3 linked regions of the Drosophila melanogaster genome follow. The protein of the gene in region 1 purifies or fractionates together with the protein of each later gene. This does not show direct contact. Each region holds a gene or a part of one and is shown in the gene's direction. Other genes may lie near its edges. The genes, in order: Rab7, Vps13 and Gdi.

Evidence for each region.
Region 2: the proteins of Rab7 (region 1) and Vps13 purify together in Drosophila melanogaster (affinity purification with western blotting; one study listed by BioGRID). This does not show direct contact.
Region 3: the proteins of Rab7 (region 1) and Gdi purify together in Drosophila melanogaster (affinity purification with mass spectrometry; 2 studies listed by BioGRID). This does not show direct contact.

Annotation. Positions count from the first base shown.
Region 1 is NT_033777.3:23,991,169-23,996,772, forward strand, and holds Rab7 (Rab7), read left to right. Parts: upstream 1-1,839; 5' UTR 1,840-1,972; intron 1,973-2,010; exon of another isoform or gene 2,011-2,108; intron 2,109-2,564; exon of another isoform or gene 2,565-2,651; intron 2,652-2,777; 5' UTR 2,778-2,833; coding exon 2,834-3,013; intron 3,014-3,077; coding exon 3,078-3,434; intron 3,435-3,495; coding exon 3,496-3,582; 3' UTR 3,583-4,284; downstream 4,285-5,604. Other genes in the region: Epp (ecdysteroid phosphate phosphatase), read right to left, coding at 1-87, 606-707, 879-1,074, 1,130-1,370, 1,516-1,628; CG33108 (uncharacterized protein), read left to right, coding at 4,568-4,798, 4,864-5,111; LSm3 (uncharacterized protein), read left to right, coding at 5,350-5,370, 5,424-5,537, 5,598-5,604. UniProt on the Drosophila melanogaster protein: Small GTPase which cycles between active GTP-bound and inactive GDP-bound states. In its active state, binds to a variety of effector proteins playing a key role in the regulation of endo-lysosomal trafficking.
Region 2 is NT_033778.4:7,564,335-7,570,354, forward strand, and holds the start of Vps13 (vacuolar protein sorting 13), read left to right. Parts: upstream 1-2,474; 5' UTR 2,475-2,549; exon of another isoform or gene 2,550-2,665; intron 2,666-2,811; 5' UTR 2,812-2,930; coding exon 2,931-3,030; intron 3,031-4,544; coding exon 4,545-4,631; intron 4,632-4,697; coding exon 4,698-4,895; intron 4,896-4,965; coding exon 4,966-5,319; intron 5,320-5,375; coding exon 5,376-5,597; intron 5,598-5,667; coding exon 5,668-5,804; intron 5,805-5,865; coding exon 5,866-6,020. Other genes in the region: Rpe (Ribulose-5-phosphate-3-epimerase), read right to left, coding at 227-523, 724-906, 965-1,150; boca, read right to left, coding at 1,624-2,016, 2,179-2,328.
Region 3 is NT_033779.5:9,489,952-9,497,163, reverse strand, and holds Gdi (GDP dissociation inhibitor), read left to right. Parts: upstream 1-2,287; 5' UTR 2,288-2,548; coding exon 2,549-2,942; intron 2,943-4,060; coding exon 4,061-4,536; intron 4,537-4,618; coding exon 4,619-5,080; 3' UTR 5,081-5,988; downstream 5,989-7,212.

The DNA of each region.
Region 1 (5,604 bases):
GTGCTTTCAGTGCATTAAACTGTGCCTGCGGGAACTGGTAGGCAAGCGTCAGGTGCAGGCTCTTAACGTGTGGCTCGAGTGAGATGGCTACAGGTAGTTAGAAGCTATTAGTAGCCTTTCGCTAGGCGGAACAAACGATTACTGAATGGAAATGAAGGCGGTGCTGGTTATATGCTTTCGTATCTAACACGGTGAATCGATGTTTTTCGATAAGGAATTATAGTCACTTAAAGTTATCTTTGGGCAAAACCAAACGTCACGGGCTTATCAACTACAGTTCTGGTCTTCTAATAATCAAAGATTTTTTGTATATATAGTGACACTAATCGGTTTTAATAATAAACTGAAATATTTTTCAAACAAATGAAACGGGGTATAAACAAATTAACTATGTAGCTACCAAAAACATCGATCACCTTGCTATCTACAGTTACTACTAATTAACTACAATTAGCAGCGTCATGTTGAATTTCGCCAAAAGGGCGATTAGATTAGTAACTTATCTACCAGTGCAACTAAAGCATGCATAGAGTGATAAGAAAGTGTACTTTTGGGTGAATCAAAAACGATTTTATGCAAACTAATGGCTCTAGCTAATGGCTTACATCGACTGCTGCGCGGAATGCAGCGGGTGCCCGAGGAGACAGCACCGCACCAGGGAAAGCAGGCCACAATGGCGTCCAACTGCTCATAGGTATCGCTAATGACTGTGCAGCATATCCCAGATTATCCAGAAGTGTGCAGGAAGAGAGGAGAACAACATAACCGTGTAAGCCACTCCGAAAAATGGAAAACCATCAACCGAATCGAACAGAACGTGAGAAAGGTAAACCAAAACAACCCAAAGAGAGTGCAACCAACAGAAGGATAATTCGTACTTGAGTTGGACACCTCCTTCACGTACTGCAGGGCCAGTCGTTTCAGATAGTTGGCATCCTCCTCGGCCACGAAAAAACCCATGAAGTTTTGACTCATGTAGGGCTCCAGTTTAAGGGGGCGATCCAACAAGGCGCCCGTCATGTCCACCACCTGTTTGAGCGCCTTGGACAGCTGCAGCGAGCACTCATCGGGGGCCTGTAATTTCGATTAGGTGAATAAATAAAGTCTGGATAATCCAACTTAAGCTCACTTTAAAAAACGAAACCAGGGTTATGTGAGGCACGTAGTTGTGTGCTCCATTCCAACCGCACATTTGGCGCGACTTGGCCCAGAACTCCTCCAGCTGCTGCAGAAACGGACCCGTGGGACAAGCATATATAATATATTCCCTGGGGGCGCACTCGTCCAGGGTGCCATCGTTGACATGTGCCAGCAACCAATCCGAGGCAATCTGGACACCACGATTACCAGTTGAAGCCAAAGCTTTCTCCCTGTGTAGGGGTAAGCAAAAAAATCAATACTCTGATTCTATGAAACAAATCAACATAGTGGGTCACTCGCACGCATAGCCACTATATCTTGGATGGAACCTAGAGCAGCTGGTGACTGCCAATACGCTATGCATAGAAAACTCACGCTCTATGCCTGGGAAACCCCATTTGGAGCAATGTTTGGAGCGGCGTCAGATGCTGCTTAGAGATGCAGATCCTCGTAGGGGTCTGACTCTTACGCGGCGGAAGCGTGGCCATTTCGATTATAGCCTCCTATGTAAGCCCAGGTGACCACCGTTTAGCAGCTTTTGGTTTTTCCTGGCTGTTCAATATTTTTCAGTGATAATTTCAACAAAAATAGGATACAATTCGTTAATTGGCCACAAAAAAGTGTTGGCTAACGACAGCCTAAAGATAGTCAACTTCTACCGATAGCTGTAACACGACTGCACTATCGATAACCAGTACTGACCAGTAGAGATGAGAGCGATTCTCCTAGCGAGACAACAACAAAATTCACTGCGTAATTAATTGAATATTTTTTAGTAAAACCGAAGCGCCCCACAAAGAAACAGCTCTTGGAGTGTTCACCAGTGTTCAAAGTGAGTGCCACTACAAAAGGAATTAGGCGAATAGCAAAAGCAAAGCGTTAAAAAGAGTGTTACGCAGCAGGCGAAAAGTGCATGGAAAATGCCAGTGGAGCCCCACATCAAACATACACACGCACACTCGAAAAACGTACACAACAAAGACCCACGCACACCGACGCAATTAGTGGCGTAGTTGTAATGGTGGAGCACAAAAACAAGTTGTTCATGGTCTAAAAAAGGGGGGCGGGGAGTTTATCTCCCTTTGGAGAGTCCACTTTCGCACTATTTTCGATTGCACCATAGTGACTCCCCCTGCCATCGAGGACTTTGAGGAAATGGGCGTTTTCCCAGGCACTTTTCCTGGTATTCCAGACCCGCTTTATTAGCTCGACCTCGTCTTTGTCTGTACTCAGCGCACTTTCTCCGCTGCGCCAATAGTGATCACGCTTTATCGCCTCGATGCGGGCACCTCCCTCCCCTACTGACCGCCTGTTCACACAGTCCAGCGATCACACACTGCGGATTGCTCAGAGTGACTCACCCGATTTGTTTATCACCCAGCACGGCGTAGCACAACTGCTCGTCATTACAAACATTTTACAGCTGCGAATGGCTTGCACTTCGAGCACTTAGGCAGTCAGGTCCTGGCAGAGATTACGGCTTTCATTGGCATGTAGTTTAGACTCTAGAGGTTTGCGCAGTTCACTTTCATTTATCTTAGGAAAGAAACCATCACACCCCTACACTTCCTAATCGAATTAGAGGAAACCGCAATGGTATTTTTAACACACAATCAATAATATTCTGTGGTTTTCAGCACCAAATACCAAAAGAAATAACCCCGAGTAAGCCAACGCCACAAACTGCATCGAAATGTCCGGACGTAAGAAATCCCTACTGAAAGTCATCATTCTGGGCGACAGCAGTGTGGGCAAGACCTCTCTGATGAATCAGTATGTAAACAAACGCTTCTCCAACCAATACAAAGCCACGATCGGAGCTGATTTCTGCACGAAAGAGGTGGTGGTCAACGACCGAGTGGTCACAATGCAGGTAAGCACTATGAACTTCCAGTAATCCTATTTCAGTGACATAACTCGCAAAATTTCAATAACAGATCTGGGACACTGCTGGTCAGGAACGCTTCCAGTCGCTTGGAGTGGCGTTTTACCGCGGAGCCGACTGCTGCGTGCTTGTCTACGATGTGACGGCGCCCAACTCGTTCAAGAATCTCGACTCCTGGCGCGACGAGTTCCTCATACAGGCCAGTCCACGGGATCCCGATCACTTCCCCTTCGTTGTGTTGGGCAATAAGGTGGATTTGGACAACCGCCAGGTGTCCACGCGTCGAGCGCAGCAATGGTGCCAATCTAAGAACGATATACCCTACTACGAAACGTCCGCCAAGGAGGGCATCAACGTGGAGATGGCGTTTCAAGTTATAGCCAAGAATGCGTTAGAGTTGGAGGCGGAGGTAAGAAATCCTATTTAAATATTGTTTTCCATACTAAATCGAACTTTGTACTTTCACACAGGCTGAAGTTATCAACGATTTCCCCGATCAGATTACCTTGGGCTCGCAAAACAATCGTCCTGGCAATCCTGACAACTGTCAGTGCTAATGTAACAACAACGCAAAATGGATAATTACACAATCTATATTATTAAATAATATTTCCAACATAATAATGAACATGAGAAGCAAGCAACACAAAGGACGATAGAGGAAGGTGTTATATGATTAAGTAAAACAATTTCAGCAAAACAGCATAGTAATTAATTAACTGATAGGATGCAAAGTTCAGATTCAGATCAACATCAGCTGAGTCTTAACGAGCCTCTGGCAAAGGCTTAACCAGTATACCCACTTTCCTACGACCTAAGTAACCGTTCAATGAATAAGTATGCTCTGTGTACTCGTATTTAATAATTCATGTTTCTGACCGACCGCCCGCCTATCTCCCTAGTACTATTTTTGCCATTGTATTAGTCAAATTTTGCACGCAACCGCTGCTGGCTTTTGCAACAGAACAGCAACATTGAGAATACAACATCAGAGTATCTTCTAAACAAACAAAAAATCTTGTGATTGTAAATTTAATAAAAGAATAACTTTTTAAATGTAATTTACAGACATAATTTCCTGCACCATCGAATTGGCTACTCTATTGTAATTGGCTGAGCTCCACAAAACTTCTTTATGCATAACATTCGAGCGTGAATTTGGTTTAGTTATAACGTTACTCGATATATCCTATAACTATGAATAGTATTCCATGTAAAATTGCTCCTTGTTTTTGGTAATACATATATGTAAATTGTGTATATTTCGAATTTATTTTTTTCCAAAGATTCATTTTATGAATTCTCATGCTCTTTGGTTTAATTTAAAGAATAAACTTGAACAATTTACAATAAAAGTCAAATAAGCTTATTTTGATATTTTTATGTGGGCTTAATTTACTTTGTGCCCACTGTAGAACAGATGCAACCAGGTGAACACAGAATATCGCTTATCGATAACTCAGCCCTGTTAATATTTGTCTGCGAAAACAGCTGTGGCTATTGTCTGTTAACTCGCTTAGTCTATTTATTTAACTAAATACCATGTCGAATATTTCAAGTGTGGCACCACCTCCTCCCCCACCACCCATGATAGTCACTCCTAGCACACCTGCTACCACAAAGGAACGTCCAGTTGGGGACAATATAACCACCGATGAGTGCACTTGGGCATGTGAGTATCCTGAGGTGCAGAAAGGATGCTATTTAAGTCGCGTCTGCCAATATACACCACCGAAACACTGTCAATACTACTCCGTAAACAGCATAGTGCAGGTGAGTTAGAAAACAATAAAGATTTCTCAGTTTGTTATTCGATAACATATGTATGTGCACCGAAGGTGGGACCTACTTGTGGCTTAGTGGCCCTCAGCATGTTGCTTGGTGGCAGTCCCACGGCAGATGATCTCCTCAAGGATGCAATCGACCAGGAGTATACCCTTAATGGTGAACTATTTAGTGCTCAGTATTTGTTTGAACTGACCCGGAAGCATATGCCAGGACCTGCTGCGTGTCAGTTGCATGTAGGTCCTTTGGACTGCAAAAAAGTCAAGGAACTTTTAAAGGCCGGAGGCTGCCTACTAGTGCCGTATCCTTTTTCAAAAATATTGCCATTTAAACCCGGGTTGAGTTTGGTATTCCCCTGCATTTAAAGCCGTTGGCGCCTAACAGCACTTGTAAACGGTGAACAGCACACTGTTGTCTGGCAGTGTTGTAAAACTCGCGGTAGTTCAGTGGTGCAACTTATAAACAGCGTTTTGTGTTTCGCAAAATAATATACAATTTTCAGTCAGTAAGTAAACGAGAAGTGCAAATACTTTTATTAAATGGCCGACGAAACAGAGCAGGTATGTGTAAGAATAAAAGCGAAAAGGATATTCTCTATATTCCGTACTTGCAGCTCAGTCAGGTGATTTTGCCGGTAAAGGAGCCTTTGGATCTCATCCGATTGAGTTTAGATGAGAAGGTGTACGTAAAGATGCGCAACGAGCGGGAACTGCGAGGACGTCTTCACGTGAGTTGATGCCTCTTTTTACTGTTGCCCAGCAATCTTTCAATATACACCTTTATCTAGGCCTTTG
Region 2 (6,020 bases), on another chromosome or scaffold:
ACCAACTAAATGCTAAAAGCAACATGTCATACCAAACATGATATATACCTACAAACATATATTATATAAATGTTAAAAAATAAATGTATAAAACCACATACGGTTGTAAGTTTCTTTTAATGGTACCATTTCCCGAGGAATTTTCCCCATTACTTGCAATGCAATTTGGTCAAAACATTTCGCCTATCTAAAAAATTCTTTCTTAAGCTAGCTGGTAAATGAATCTCTATTTGAGGTAGCTGTGCACCACATCGCGCAACTCCTTGATGACCTGCGACTGATCGGAGGCGCCCACCACGGCGGTTCCCGAGACGATCATGTTGGCTCCGGCCTCGGCACAGCAGTGTATAGTCTTGGGTCCCACACCTCCGTCCACCTCGATGTCCAGGTTGGGGTAGTTTTCGCGCAGCCACTTGACCTTCGGCATCATATCGGCCATGAAGGATTGTCCGCCAAAACCGGGTTCCACGGTCATCACCAGCACAACGTCGGCAATGCTCAAGTACTTCTCCAGATCTTGTACCTAAAAGGTAAGTGCAACAGGTGGTTACTCGTTGGATATTTTCAAAATTGTAAGGAACTTCAGACCTAGCTTGGGACAAGATCTAGTGGAAATATCAAATCTATAAATAATTTCAAACAAATAAGCAACAAGCTGTGGCTATACAACATACATAGGAGGTATCAAGTATCAAAAGTGATATAACCCTAACCTCAACCTACCTCGGTGCCCGGCTTAATGGCCAGGCCCACCTTCATGCCCGACTCCTGCACTCGGCGACTGACTCTGACGACATCCTGCACCGGTTCGACGTGGAAGGTGTAGAGATTGACACCGGCATCGGCCATGGGCTCTATCCACTGCTCCGGATTCTGGACCATCATGTGCGTCTCGAAAAAGGCCGTCTATATGGGGTTGTGGCATAGGTAATTGAATATCTGGCTCAGATGACTGCAGACTTACCTTGATCTTGTTGCGCAAGCTCTTGACCATGGGGTGACCAAAGGTGAGATTCGGCACAAAAGTGCCGTCCATCACGTCCAGATGCAGGTAGTCCGCTCCATTGTCCAGTAGTTTCTGTGACTCCGCCGCTAGGTTGGAGAGATCCGCATTGAGAATGCTGGGACCGATCTTGGCTTGGACGGGCATCTTCTTGGTGGAACAGCTACTCAACAGGCGGAGCAAGTAGAGCACGTCGCGGTTCGCGGGTGGCGTCTTGTTGACTTAAGGTCACACAGAGGGGAGCTGGAGCTCGAAACATTTGAAAGGCGATACGATAACTTTGCCGATGGCACCGTGAGTTGTGTAGTTGGTCAGCGATTAATTTAGAGTTTTGCTTAAATTTTTCATTTATTTTGTTTTTGATTTGACACATACGCAGTGTATATAAACAATCTAATAGAGATACAAATATTATATTCAAAATATGTTTATTGAAATATTCATATTTTTATCCATATTTATTCCATCCCGCAAACGGAGCCGTTTCCCTGTGAATGGCCAAGCAAAATACATATGTAGCTTCTTTAATAAGTTTGTTTAATAAATTTGTTTTATTTTAATTGAACTTTGATCTTAAATAGTGAGAATGTTTTGATGTGCTGGTATGCCGTGGAACCGGCCTACAGTTCGTCCTTTTTCGCATTGACACCTGGGTACTCCTTGTTCTCGATGGTTACGCCCTTGCAGCGTTCCTGCTCGATGAGGAAGTCCTTGGCGTCCCAGGCTTGTGTGCCGTCCTTGAAGAGGAAGATGGCGCGGTTATCGTCAACCATGTAGCGCTCCGCCTGGATGTGGTTGTTCCAGAGGCTTGTCTGCCAGAGCTTGGTGATGGTGTCGCTCTCCTCCCGGGTTGGATTACCGGTCACCGAAACGAAGGTCATCAGCGTGCGCCCCTTTTTGGACACCTTGAGCAGGTCCTCGGGGCTCTTGCTGTCCAGATTGCTCAGGTCCAGCTTGGGCTGGGGGCGCAGGTGCTCGGGCAGCTCATCATCCTCGAGGGGCTCTTCATCTTCCTAAGAGAAGATTAAAAGAAGGGGTATCAGTTATCCGTCTCTACAAATGATGAATCCTTAGATAGGTGGGAATCTAAAGGGTTGGCATTACTCCCTTGCTAGGTGCGAATCTGGAGAGTTGGGTCCGATGTGTCGCTTTCCAATCGCAGTGTTGTTACCTACCTCCCATTGATCTAGCAGACGCTCGAGGTCCGCCTCGCTGTAGTCGCGTATATCCTTTTTGGCCCACGCCGGTTTCTCCTCCTCCTTGAACTTCTTGGCCAGGACGAGCGGGGTCAGAGCTAGCAGCAGCAAAACAAGACGTGTTTGCATGGTGTTTTATAAATATTTTTCCTATAGCTCAGCAATTCGCACGGTCAAACACGTCACCTAACAGTTTGCCATTCGCCCGGGAACGCGACCGAACAGCTGATTGAGCGTCCCCAGGTGGAGAACGCAAACGGAAAACACAACAGCTGTTAGTTTCGGGCGAGCATTTAAAGAACGCGCATCGCACGGAGTTACTACTTTTTTGTCGCGTGGAAATGCCGCTGGTAATTGGGTGCAGTAAATAGAGATAAGAACGGGCGTTGCACACGTGCTCTGGAGTGGAGTAGTGAGTTAATCGCACCAGCCCTACTCCAGCTGACCCTGGACAATCGTTTGGCTTGTTAGTTTATTTTGGAACAATGGGCCTGGCGGATTGTGCCAAAATATTTGAAATGCGTTCAACGATGACATCATCGACATTGTGTTTTAATCCGTCTCTCCGTTCCATCTGTTTGGTTTCTGTGTTTACATATGCATGTATTTTAGATCAACTATAGACCGCACAGCGAACGCCAGATTGTTTGAAGCACTCACCACGACCACATCAATTGGAATAACAACCACAAACTTGGAGGAAAATCAATAGGAGCATCTGCTAGGACACAATGGTCTTCGAGGCGGTGGTGGCCGATGTGCTGAACAAGGTGCTCGGCGACTACATCGAGAACTTGGACCGGAACCAGCTGAAGATTGGCATTTGGGGAGGTGAGTTCCAGTTCCCCGGAGAGGATGACACCATTCTGCTCCACCCTCACGCAAAAACATCGCCTTACTGCGGTACCCATTGTTTATTGGTCTATTTGCACGCAAGTGCCCAGAAAAAACAATGATGGCGGTGACCTTATCCTTGGCAAAATACTATTAATGACCTAATTTCGTCGCTTCTAAGTGAGCCGTATTCGCAAGTTCATGCGAACCCAATGAATTCTTCTGAGAAAGAGAAAAGACGGAGGAGCATTCAGACTTCGAGGGGTGGGACAACTGTTGCATCTTGCTGTGCGATAGAGCAATTCTTGTGGTTTCTCTTGGCTCTCCATGAGCTCATTTAGTCTCTGCCTTTATATCTTTTATTTACAAATCTACTTGTATAGGGTTTCTGTGTGAAACATAAACAATTCTTCGGTCTTTTATCTGAATGTACTCACTTCACTTCATGTTAAGTGGGTTGTAAATTCCACTTCACGAAGACAAGTTTGCGACAAACCCAGTAAACGGGTTTGTTCAAAGAGTGACGTTCGGCGACAAGCCTGTTTTAATTCGGCTGATCTTGAACTTGGTGACATAATGCCTTGCGTTCATAAATTCATGTTAATTAGCATTTTGTTTTAAACTTATATAAGAGTATTTCATTCAAATATGCTTGAAGTAAGAAAGACCGGGCTTATGCTTCGTTAGAAATGAATGAATATATGCTATAAAATGATATTTTCTCTACAATACCTAAATATTTTGAATAAAACTGATTAGCTTAACTAATCAAAAATGACCTAGTTAAGTCAATGGAATATGTGTGTATATATTGCTTCTATGCAGGGTATATTATTTATATTATATTATTTGCCCAATGATTCATATTTGTTTTCATTTTGCAATTTACAAGTCAAGCGTGTTATATGTACATATATTGTAAAATGCAATCAGGTGAATAACTCTTCTTGTTTATTGAAGCAATCTAATTTAATCAGTTGTTACAACACTGTTATCAGAGTAACTTATAATTAATACTCTTGTATTTAATGTCGATAATTGAACACCACTTGCAGAATTATGATTATTGGCCAGATATGAAGTTTGTAAAGTAAGGCCAAACATGTTCCTATCAGTGCGATTCGACTGGCCTCAAATGTTGGATAACTTTAATGGGGTCGCTTGGTCGTTAAACTATTGACACACAAGCGTAATTCAATGTATAGTATATTCACCAATTGTGCTGCCCATTTTGCATTCCAAGCATAACAAACACTTAACAACTATAAATGCCGCATGCCCAAAATGCCAGACATTGGTAAACAGTATTGACATATTGGTGCGCCCGCTGCTTTTTCCATTTGCGTACTTAACACTTTGCAAAGCCTTAGTCATATATAAATGTAGCTATAGCGCTCTCCCTATGTAATTAACCCGTAATTAATTAATAGGCATTCGCTCCCACTTTTGCAAATGACTGATTACTGCGACTGATAAGACTAATGAAAGCAAATTCTGTCTTTGTTTGGCAGGCGATGTCGTCTTGCAGAACCTCAAGATACGGGAGAATGCCCTGGACGAGTTGGACCTGCCCGTACAGCTTATCTATGGTTACTTGGGTATGTAAAGCATTAGTTTCCAACTGAATTGGATACTCATACACTGTGAATTTAATAAATTTGCAGGCAAACTAGTGCTTAAGATCCCCTGGAAGAATTTGTACAGCCAGCCGGTAATTGTCAACATTGAGGATCTTTATGTCTTAGTTTCACCCAACAACAATGTCCAGTACAACGCCGAAAAGGAGGCCAAATATGAGATGGACCTCAAGAAGGCGGCGCTTGATGCCCTGGAGGCAGCTCGCAAAAAGGAGTTGGAAATGGGTAAGCGAATCTTCTTTTCCATTCTTTGAATGAATCGAAATATATATATATATATTATACTCATTCACAGATCAGCCCAAAGCAGATGCAGGATTTGCCGAAAAGCTAACGGCGCAGATCGTTAACAATCTGCAGGTGCAGATAACCAACGTTCATCTGCGATACGAGGATACCACAACGACGGGTAGTCCCTTCTCCTTCGGCATATCCCTGCATGAGCTCGAACTTTACACCACCGATTGCGACTGGGAGAAGTGCTACATGGCCCAGCAGGCGTCGCAGGTCTTCAAAATAGCGAATCTCTCATGTCTTTCCGCCTATTTGAACTGTGGTGGACAACTGTACGCGAACAACAAGAGCGACCTTTCACAGCAGTTCAAGACGAATATTGCTTGCAAGGAAACAAAACCCAACTACAACTATGGTAATATTTTATAATTCTGTACGAGAAACACCTAAAACGTTTCCTTGCGGTTATAGTGCTGGGTCCTATCTCTTGCAATGCCAAGCTAAAGCTAAACATGAACCCGGAGCTCGATGATCCGCCATTTGAAAAACCTAAAATCGATCTTACGCTGGAAATGGAAAAGCTTAATGTCGGCTTGACAAACACACAGTTCGACAATCTCATGAAGCTTGGAGACGCTATGAACCGCCAGCAGTTGGGCATACCGTACCGGAAATATCGTCCCTACAATATACGTAAGTATTGATCAGACTCTGATTTTTTTCAGTAGTTATTAACCATAAATTGATGTATTATTTTTTTTAGCATACAAAGGCCACGCCAGGGACTGGTGGCACTTTGCAATAACTTCTATTCTAGAGGAGGAAGTAAGGAAACCCAGAGAGAGCTGGACTTGGGGACACATCAAGACCCACAGAGAACGCTGCAACACTTATGCACAGGTGTGTGGAATGTCTTAACTAAAGAAACTACAGTATCCACAGTGCACATTTTACGTTTTAGAAATACAAGGAGCAGTGCTTAAGCAAAAAACCGTCAGCCGTGCTTACGGAAACCTGCCGTTTGCTAGAAACGGAGCTGGACGTTTTTAACTTGCTGCTAATCCGGCAGAGGGTCAACATCGAGATAGCCAAGCAACGAGAGGCAGTGCCTGAACA
Region 3 (7,212 bases), on another chromosome or scaffold:
CGGCTTGGTGGAATTTTAAATATGTCACAGGTAAGAGAAATTATTTTTTCCCGCCAGGTAAGCAACGGAAATTTTTAACAGCTGCTAGCATCCACCGAATTGCTGATCGGCAACCATGTTTCCAATTTAGTCTCAACATTTCAGTTTAAATCAGCATGCAAAACATCTATGTATAAAACTCAGTATTTATTTTATAATGGCGGCAGATATTTATTCTTATTGATTCTACGTTCTATGTTTAATAGACACCATTTTGAAATTTAGAAAAGTTGTGAAACGTGATGTTAAATTCGAATTCAATTTTACCGTCTTAAGAAAGATGTTATGTCTCTAAAATATACCCTTAATATATGATTTTAGATGTATTATATTTTTAACCATGAGTGCCAAGGAAAACTAATTTTTAGCTCAAAATAGATTTTTACAATGTGGGGGTCGGTTTCACACCGACCTCGCATTTCACTTGCATTTTCTAGTCCCACTGTGCGCAGTGAGGCCAAGCATCTTTACTGCATTACAGTGCAAACGAATCCAAAGCCGCAGAAAAACAAAAAGCAAAGTTAAAACCGCGACTGTTTGAATCTATTTGCCTTTTATCAAATGCCGGTAAGACAAAGAGAGAGAGAGATAGAAGGGGAAAGAGGATGGAGAAGCCAGAACGATCGGAGGCTGTGTGAATGAGTGAGCGAGATGGATGCGAGCAGGTAAAAAACCCGTCGTATATTTTGGGAGGATGGGGGCCGAGGGCGGTGGGCGGGGCAGTTGGTCTGCAACGCCTAACTGGTTCTTGGCAACCAACTTGTTTTTTCTGTAGATTGCCGCCGTCTGTGCTTTATTATGTTTTTTCCCTCCGACTTTATGCCTGTGCAATTTTTAATATGGCAACTTGATTTAAACGAAAAACTTACCCAATAAAATCGTAGACGTGGATTTATGCTTGTTTTTCGATCAATTCAATTGCCTGCGGTTATTTTATCCTTGCCTTCGTGGGGGTTTTGTTTTATATTTTTTGTTTGAAACTATTTTTACACGGGGATGAAAACAACTTTTCAGCATGGCAACAATACAAAAATGTTGCAGCACATTCAAAGCAACAACAAGAACAACAGGGAGGTAACATATGATAACCGAGGTCAGGCGGAAAGTGTGAGCGGGACAGGAGATTATCTTTTTGTTTTCTATTTTGTATGTTTCCTCAGCGAAGGAATTACAATAAATAATTATTTCCCAAAGACTTTATTTCACTTGGAGCACAGCATAAAAAATCCCTGAGCCGCTCACTTTTTCACTTCCTTTTGTTGGGGTTTTCGTCTTTTTTTTCGAACTTATTTTTTGCCACGAACTCGAGGTTTGGTTTGTTGTTGTTGCTAAGAATTTCAATACAATTATGGCCCAAATAGCATTTTCACTTTTCCACACAAGCACGCAGCCACCGCACGCACACACACTCACACAAGTACACAGTTGTTTGGCTCCGTTTTAAATGAAAATATAATCAAACATTTACATTGCCGTGTGTTTTTGCTCCACGAAAATGTATGATTATGTATGATTAGTTTTCCTTGCTCGCTGCACGCGCGAAAATCCGACGAAACAAAGAAACAAGAAACGACGCGAAGAGAACGTAACAACCTAAATAAACCCGATACAAAAATCGCGTCCGAATCGGCTCGTCGTTTCAACCAAAATCACCAGTAAAACTTTGCAGAGGCTTCGGGATGATGTGGCCAGACTCGCTAACTGTGCTAACAGCTGTAAGAAGAATGCCCCTAGTTTCGGAATAAATGTCTATCGTGTCTCCGATAATAAATGTACGCAAATGTTGGTTTTCTTGAAATTATTACATACATTGAAAAGTCTAATTGCTTATATTGTATTCTCTTTAAAATAAAAAGTAATGAACGAATGCGTGAGATATGATATAAATAGAGATCTCCAGTAACTTAAAACTCGATAGGTAAACAGCGTTCAAATACTGTTTACAATAATTGCTGAATATCTTTTTATATTTTATATGATCGATCTGTGAATCCTCCGTTTTGTTATTTTATAATGTCTTGCTTTATGCAAGACCAACACATGCATTTAACAAATTTAAATTGCAACTATAAATTTGCGCGCGCGACATGCAGCCCTGAAATGTCAATAATCTAGGAAATAAACTTTTGCAAAATCATAATCAATTCAAAAATCTTGCACACACGTCTCTAAATCTTTCGTACATTAATGCTCTGTGTGCAAATTAAATATCTTATATGCTTGTTTGGTTATTTCCTTATTTCCATGTACAATTAGCAGCCGATAGCAACTCTTTCTCATGCAGCCCTGGGCATGTACGAAAACGTAACGTAACGTGACCAGCAAACGGCGTGACGGCAAACGGGCAGCGCAAAGCGGACGAGCGAAAGGCGAACGAGTAGAGAAAAATTATTGAGCGCAGAGAAAAGTCCACCAAATCGAACGTCGCAGCAAGTGAAAAGGGCGAAAACCGGATAAAAAAAATATATAAATTACTGTGATTGCAATATATAAATAAGTGCGATCCAATATGAATGAGGAATACGATGCGATTGTGCTAGGAACGGGCCTCAAGGAGTGCATCCTCAGCGGGATGCTGTCCGTGTCCGGCAAGAAGGTTTTGCATATTGATCGAAACAAGTACTACGGCGGCGAGTCCGCCTCGATAACGCCGCTGGAGGAGCTCTTCCAGCGCTACGGACTGGAGCCGCCCGGCGAACGATTTGGGCGTGGCCGCGACTGGAACGTGGACCTGATCCCCAAGTTCCTGATGGCCAATGGCCAGCTGGTCAAGCTGCTGATCCACACGGGCGTCACCCGCTATCTGGAGTTCAAGTCCATCGAGGGCAGCTACGTTTACAAGGGCGGCAAGATAGCCAAGGTGCCGGTGGACCAAAAGGAGGCCCTGGCATCCGATCTCATGGGTTCGTTAATAATGCTCTTTTAAGTCCCGTTGCCTTTTTGCTTGGCGGTGAGCCCCCCACGAAAAATTGTGCAAATTACCAGCTGTGCTTGTGTGTGTGCGTGGTTGTATGTATGTATTTTCGTACTCGACTGTTATCTGCTTCCCCTCTCTCGCCCGCACCACTCTCTTTCTCTTCTCTTCTTTGTCTGCCTTTTCACTCGCTGGCAAAGCTCTTGTTGTTGTTATTCCCTTTTTTTTAATGTGACACGTATGTGTGTGCCGAAAAACAGTTGTTTTCTTCGCTCGCCAAAGAATTTCTACCAAAGTTTCCCCCACACATATCCATTTCCACACCATGTTTGTTGGCCCAACTATTATCGCCCTATTCCGATTGGAGTCGAAATTTTAATCGCTCTGCGCTGATTCATACACCTGCCGCTAATTGGTCGCCTCCATTTTACACCTGAATTTCGCTTTGTTTGAAATTTAAGTTTTTCCCTCTTCTTCGTGGCAGCAATGCAATTAGCTAAAACACGCTCTATTTATTTATGATTGGCTCTTGAATTTTTCCATTTCAATTTTTACTTAGTTTTTGCAACCAGGTTTTTGGCCAGGCGCATTGAACCCCCTTCACTTTACAGTGGAGATTGCCTATAAACGAAAACATTTCATGACTTTAGATGTACTACATTTTTTAATTTTTGTCTTTAATTATCAATAATTTGCATATAAAATAGAAATTTTCAATGAAAATGTGACTATTAGGTAGATTTTACTTCCGTTTGTAACAATACCTATTGGATGTCTCAATTTGCTAATTGAAAGTTAAACACCTTGTCCATGCTTCACTGTGTCCGCATTACACATATGCTCGGAATGACGTCATGGGGTGGCCAAGTGGTTTCTGATTGTTGGTGGTGTGTCCTCCGCCCCCTAAATTGAAGGTTTCCCACTGTAGTTGCGTGCTGTTGTCCCAGTGAGTGTCTGTATGTGAGTGTTTGTGGCATGCAAATGAAATGGAAACGGGAAACTTGAAACCCTCGGGCTCGTGCACTCCCTTTATATGCAGATCCTGAACCCCAAACTGACCAATATGGCATTATGGATATACATATATAAATGTGACTTTACTTGCAGGTATGTTCGAGAAGCGTCGCTTCCGGAACTTCCTCATCTACGTGCAGGATTTCCGAGAAGATGACCCCAAGACCTGGAAGGACTTTGACCCCACCAAGGCCAACATGCAGGGTCTGTACGACAAGTTCGGACTGGACAAGAACACGCAGGACTTCACCGGCCACGCCCTGGCCCTTTTCCGCGACGATGAGTATCTGAACGAGCCGGCCGTGAACACCATCCGGCGGATTAAGCTCTACTCCGATTCGCTGGCGCGTTACGGCAAGTCGCCCTACCTTTATCCCATGTACGGCCTGGGTGAGCTGCCCCAGGGATTCGCACGTCTGTCGGCCATCTACGGCGGCACCTACATGCTTGACAAGCCCATCGACGAGATTGTCCTCGGCGAGGGCGGCAAGGTGGTGGGAGTGCGCTCCGGCGAAGAGGTCGCCAAGTGCAAGCAGGTCTACTGCGATCCCAGCTACGTGCCCGAGAAGGTGAGATTCACAAAAGATTTGTGTAAACTAGCCTATTAGTCTTTTGGAAATAACCATGTATTACATTTCTTTTATGTGACAGGTGCGCAAGCGTGGCAAGGTGATTCGCTGCATTTGCATTCTGGACCATCCGGTGGCCAGCACCAAGGATGGTCTCTCCACGCAGATTATCATTCCACAAAAGCAGGTCGGCCGCAAGTCGGACATCTATGTGTCGCTTGTGAGCTCCACTCATCAGGTGGCCGCCAAGGGTTGGTTCGTGGGCATGGTCTCGACCACCGTTGAGACCGAGAACCCGGAGGTGGAGATCAAGCCTGGCTTGGACTTGCTGGAGCCGATCGCACAAAAGTTTGTAACCATTTCGGACTATTTGGAGCCGATCGATGATGGATCCGAGTCTCAAATCTTTATTTCGGAGTCTTACGATGCGACCACGCACTTTGAGACTACTTGCCTGGATGTGTTGAACATATTCAAGCGGGGCACTGGCGAGACGTTCGACTTCTCCAAGATCAAGCACGAGTTGGGTGACGAGGAGCAGTAAACGGGAATGAAGGCCTCATCTGGTTATGGTGCATTTGGACAGCTCAACATCAGCCACAAACATCGTAGATCGTCTCAGCGTCGTGGCCAAACCTTAAAAAAAAAAATACCCAAGATAAGAAAACCCAAAATAAAAGCCCAAAAAAACTAAAGAAAACCGAAAATCCAGAAATTGTATTACGAAAATGCTTTCCATCGAGAGATGAAGTTTTAGATGTGAAACGAATTGCTTGCTTCGCGCAATATTGGATATGCCTAGAAAATATATATATATATATACCAATATAACATAAATTATACAACATGCAGTCGCGTATATATGTACGTCTATATAAATGTATAACTAAGTGAGTGTTAGGCAACTAAATCAAATTCCACAGATTCAGCTTGTGACTCGAGCAAAAGCGCTAGACTCGACAAACACTCTCCCATTTCGCCGATAGGCCAGTCAGTCAGACGATTACGCTTGGACTTTAGTTGTACGAGTATATAATAAAGTATATATATATATATAAAATATGACATCGTATATATATATTATCTATGTATATTGCCCTTCTGCTTGGTTTTTCTTTCTTTTTTTTTTTTGTGATCCACCCAATTTGTGTGGCTGCCAAGGCTCCAAACGAAAGCATAACACATACCTATAAACACGACACAAACTCTTACACATGCATAGTGCAGCATTATAATTGTAATTGTAATCCCCAGAAAGAAATCGATGGTATTGAAAATGTAAAACAGTCGAAAAAGTTCATCGCAGCATATACCCAAAAATAATGCAATTGATCGAAGCGCGGCAAACGACATATAAAGAGAACAGAACCTAAGAAGTTTGTCAATGGTATAGAGAACTATGGTATTCCGCATTTTCAGAATTTACATTTTTAATAAAAATTAAAAAAATATAAACATTTTTTTTTTTATTTACTATTTTTATATTGAGGGATGTTATGTTTGCTTTCCTTTCCCCAAAAGTCTGGTTTCTTTTCGGATTAAGGAATCTTGTCCTGGAGTTTTTCCACCGACTCATTTTATTGAACGTTTTCAGTTTCCGGTTCCGTTCAAAATGTCACTTGAGTTTTATAGCTACCAGCTTTTTATATGTCCTGGAGCTTTTCACCTTTCACACAGACTCATTTAATTTGAGATTTTTAGTTCTGGTTCCAGCCAAAGTGGCACTGAGTTTTGACGTCTTCAGCTTTTGTAACAGCCAAATGGCGGCAGATTTAAACTACATCAGTATGCACTGCAGTCCACGTAGTGACGAAGCGCACCATAAGTGTGTGCCAAGGCGGCTACTATATACACACAGAGAAATGAAAATCTGCTGTTTGACAGATCCTGGAAGAATATGGAAAGGATTTAGACGTATTCTTTGAGGTGACTTAGGATGGTCTGGTCTGTAAAGGAAATGGAAGGGATCTGGCCTAATTCTGGGTGGGATCAAGGAGGTATCTGTGTGGTGTCTTGTTAGGAAGGGGGACCTCTTAGTATAGAGACTCGGTTGTAAATAAAAATCTTTTCCAGACTCGCCATCCAAAAGTGACGACGACAGTCCGGGCGTTTCAGAGTTTGTTAGCTTTTCGCCGGATTTGAATCACGCAGCCATAGGGTTATAGTTATGACCAGGACTCCTCGTTGCCTCTTTATGTGACACAATTACGAATTCCGCAGCAAGTGTTTGGGATGCATTTGAAATACTTGCCCCCTTCCCCTCACCCTACTCACTCCGCACAAATCACCCCTTATGGCCGTGGTAAGTGGGAAATTCTTATTGAATTGCATGTGGCATGCCACACGAGTCGAAGGCTAGTTCGCTCACTTTGGGGTCCTCGTTCTTCGTCCTGCATCCTGTCGATGGCCCCAGGAATGTGCAAAATGCTGAGAATGCCGCTCTCCATTCCTGTTAGTTTTAATGCTGTCACTGACAGTTTGTGTTTTTTTTTTGTCCGCACTCCACTTCACTTTGCCCCGGCTTTTATTTTCCCAGCCCGCCGACGACGACCTGTCCAACAAAATGCCGCCAGTATTTTTCCAATTTCCGTTTCCCAGAAAAGGCAAAAGTGCAAAGACGTTTCGCATTATTTCGCTCTTGCCCAGAGTCGTTGAACATTGAACTCGGTCGCAAGT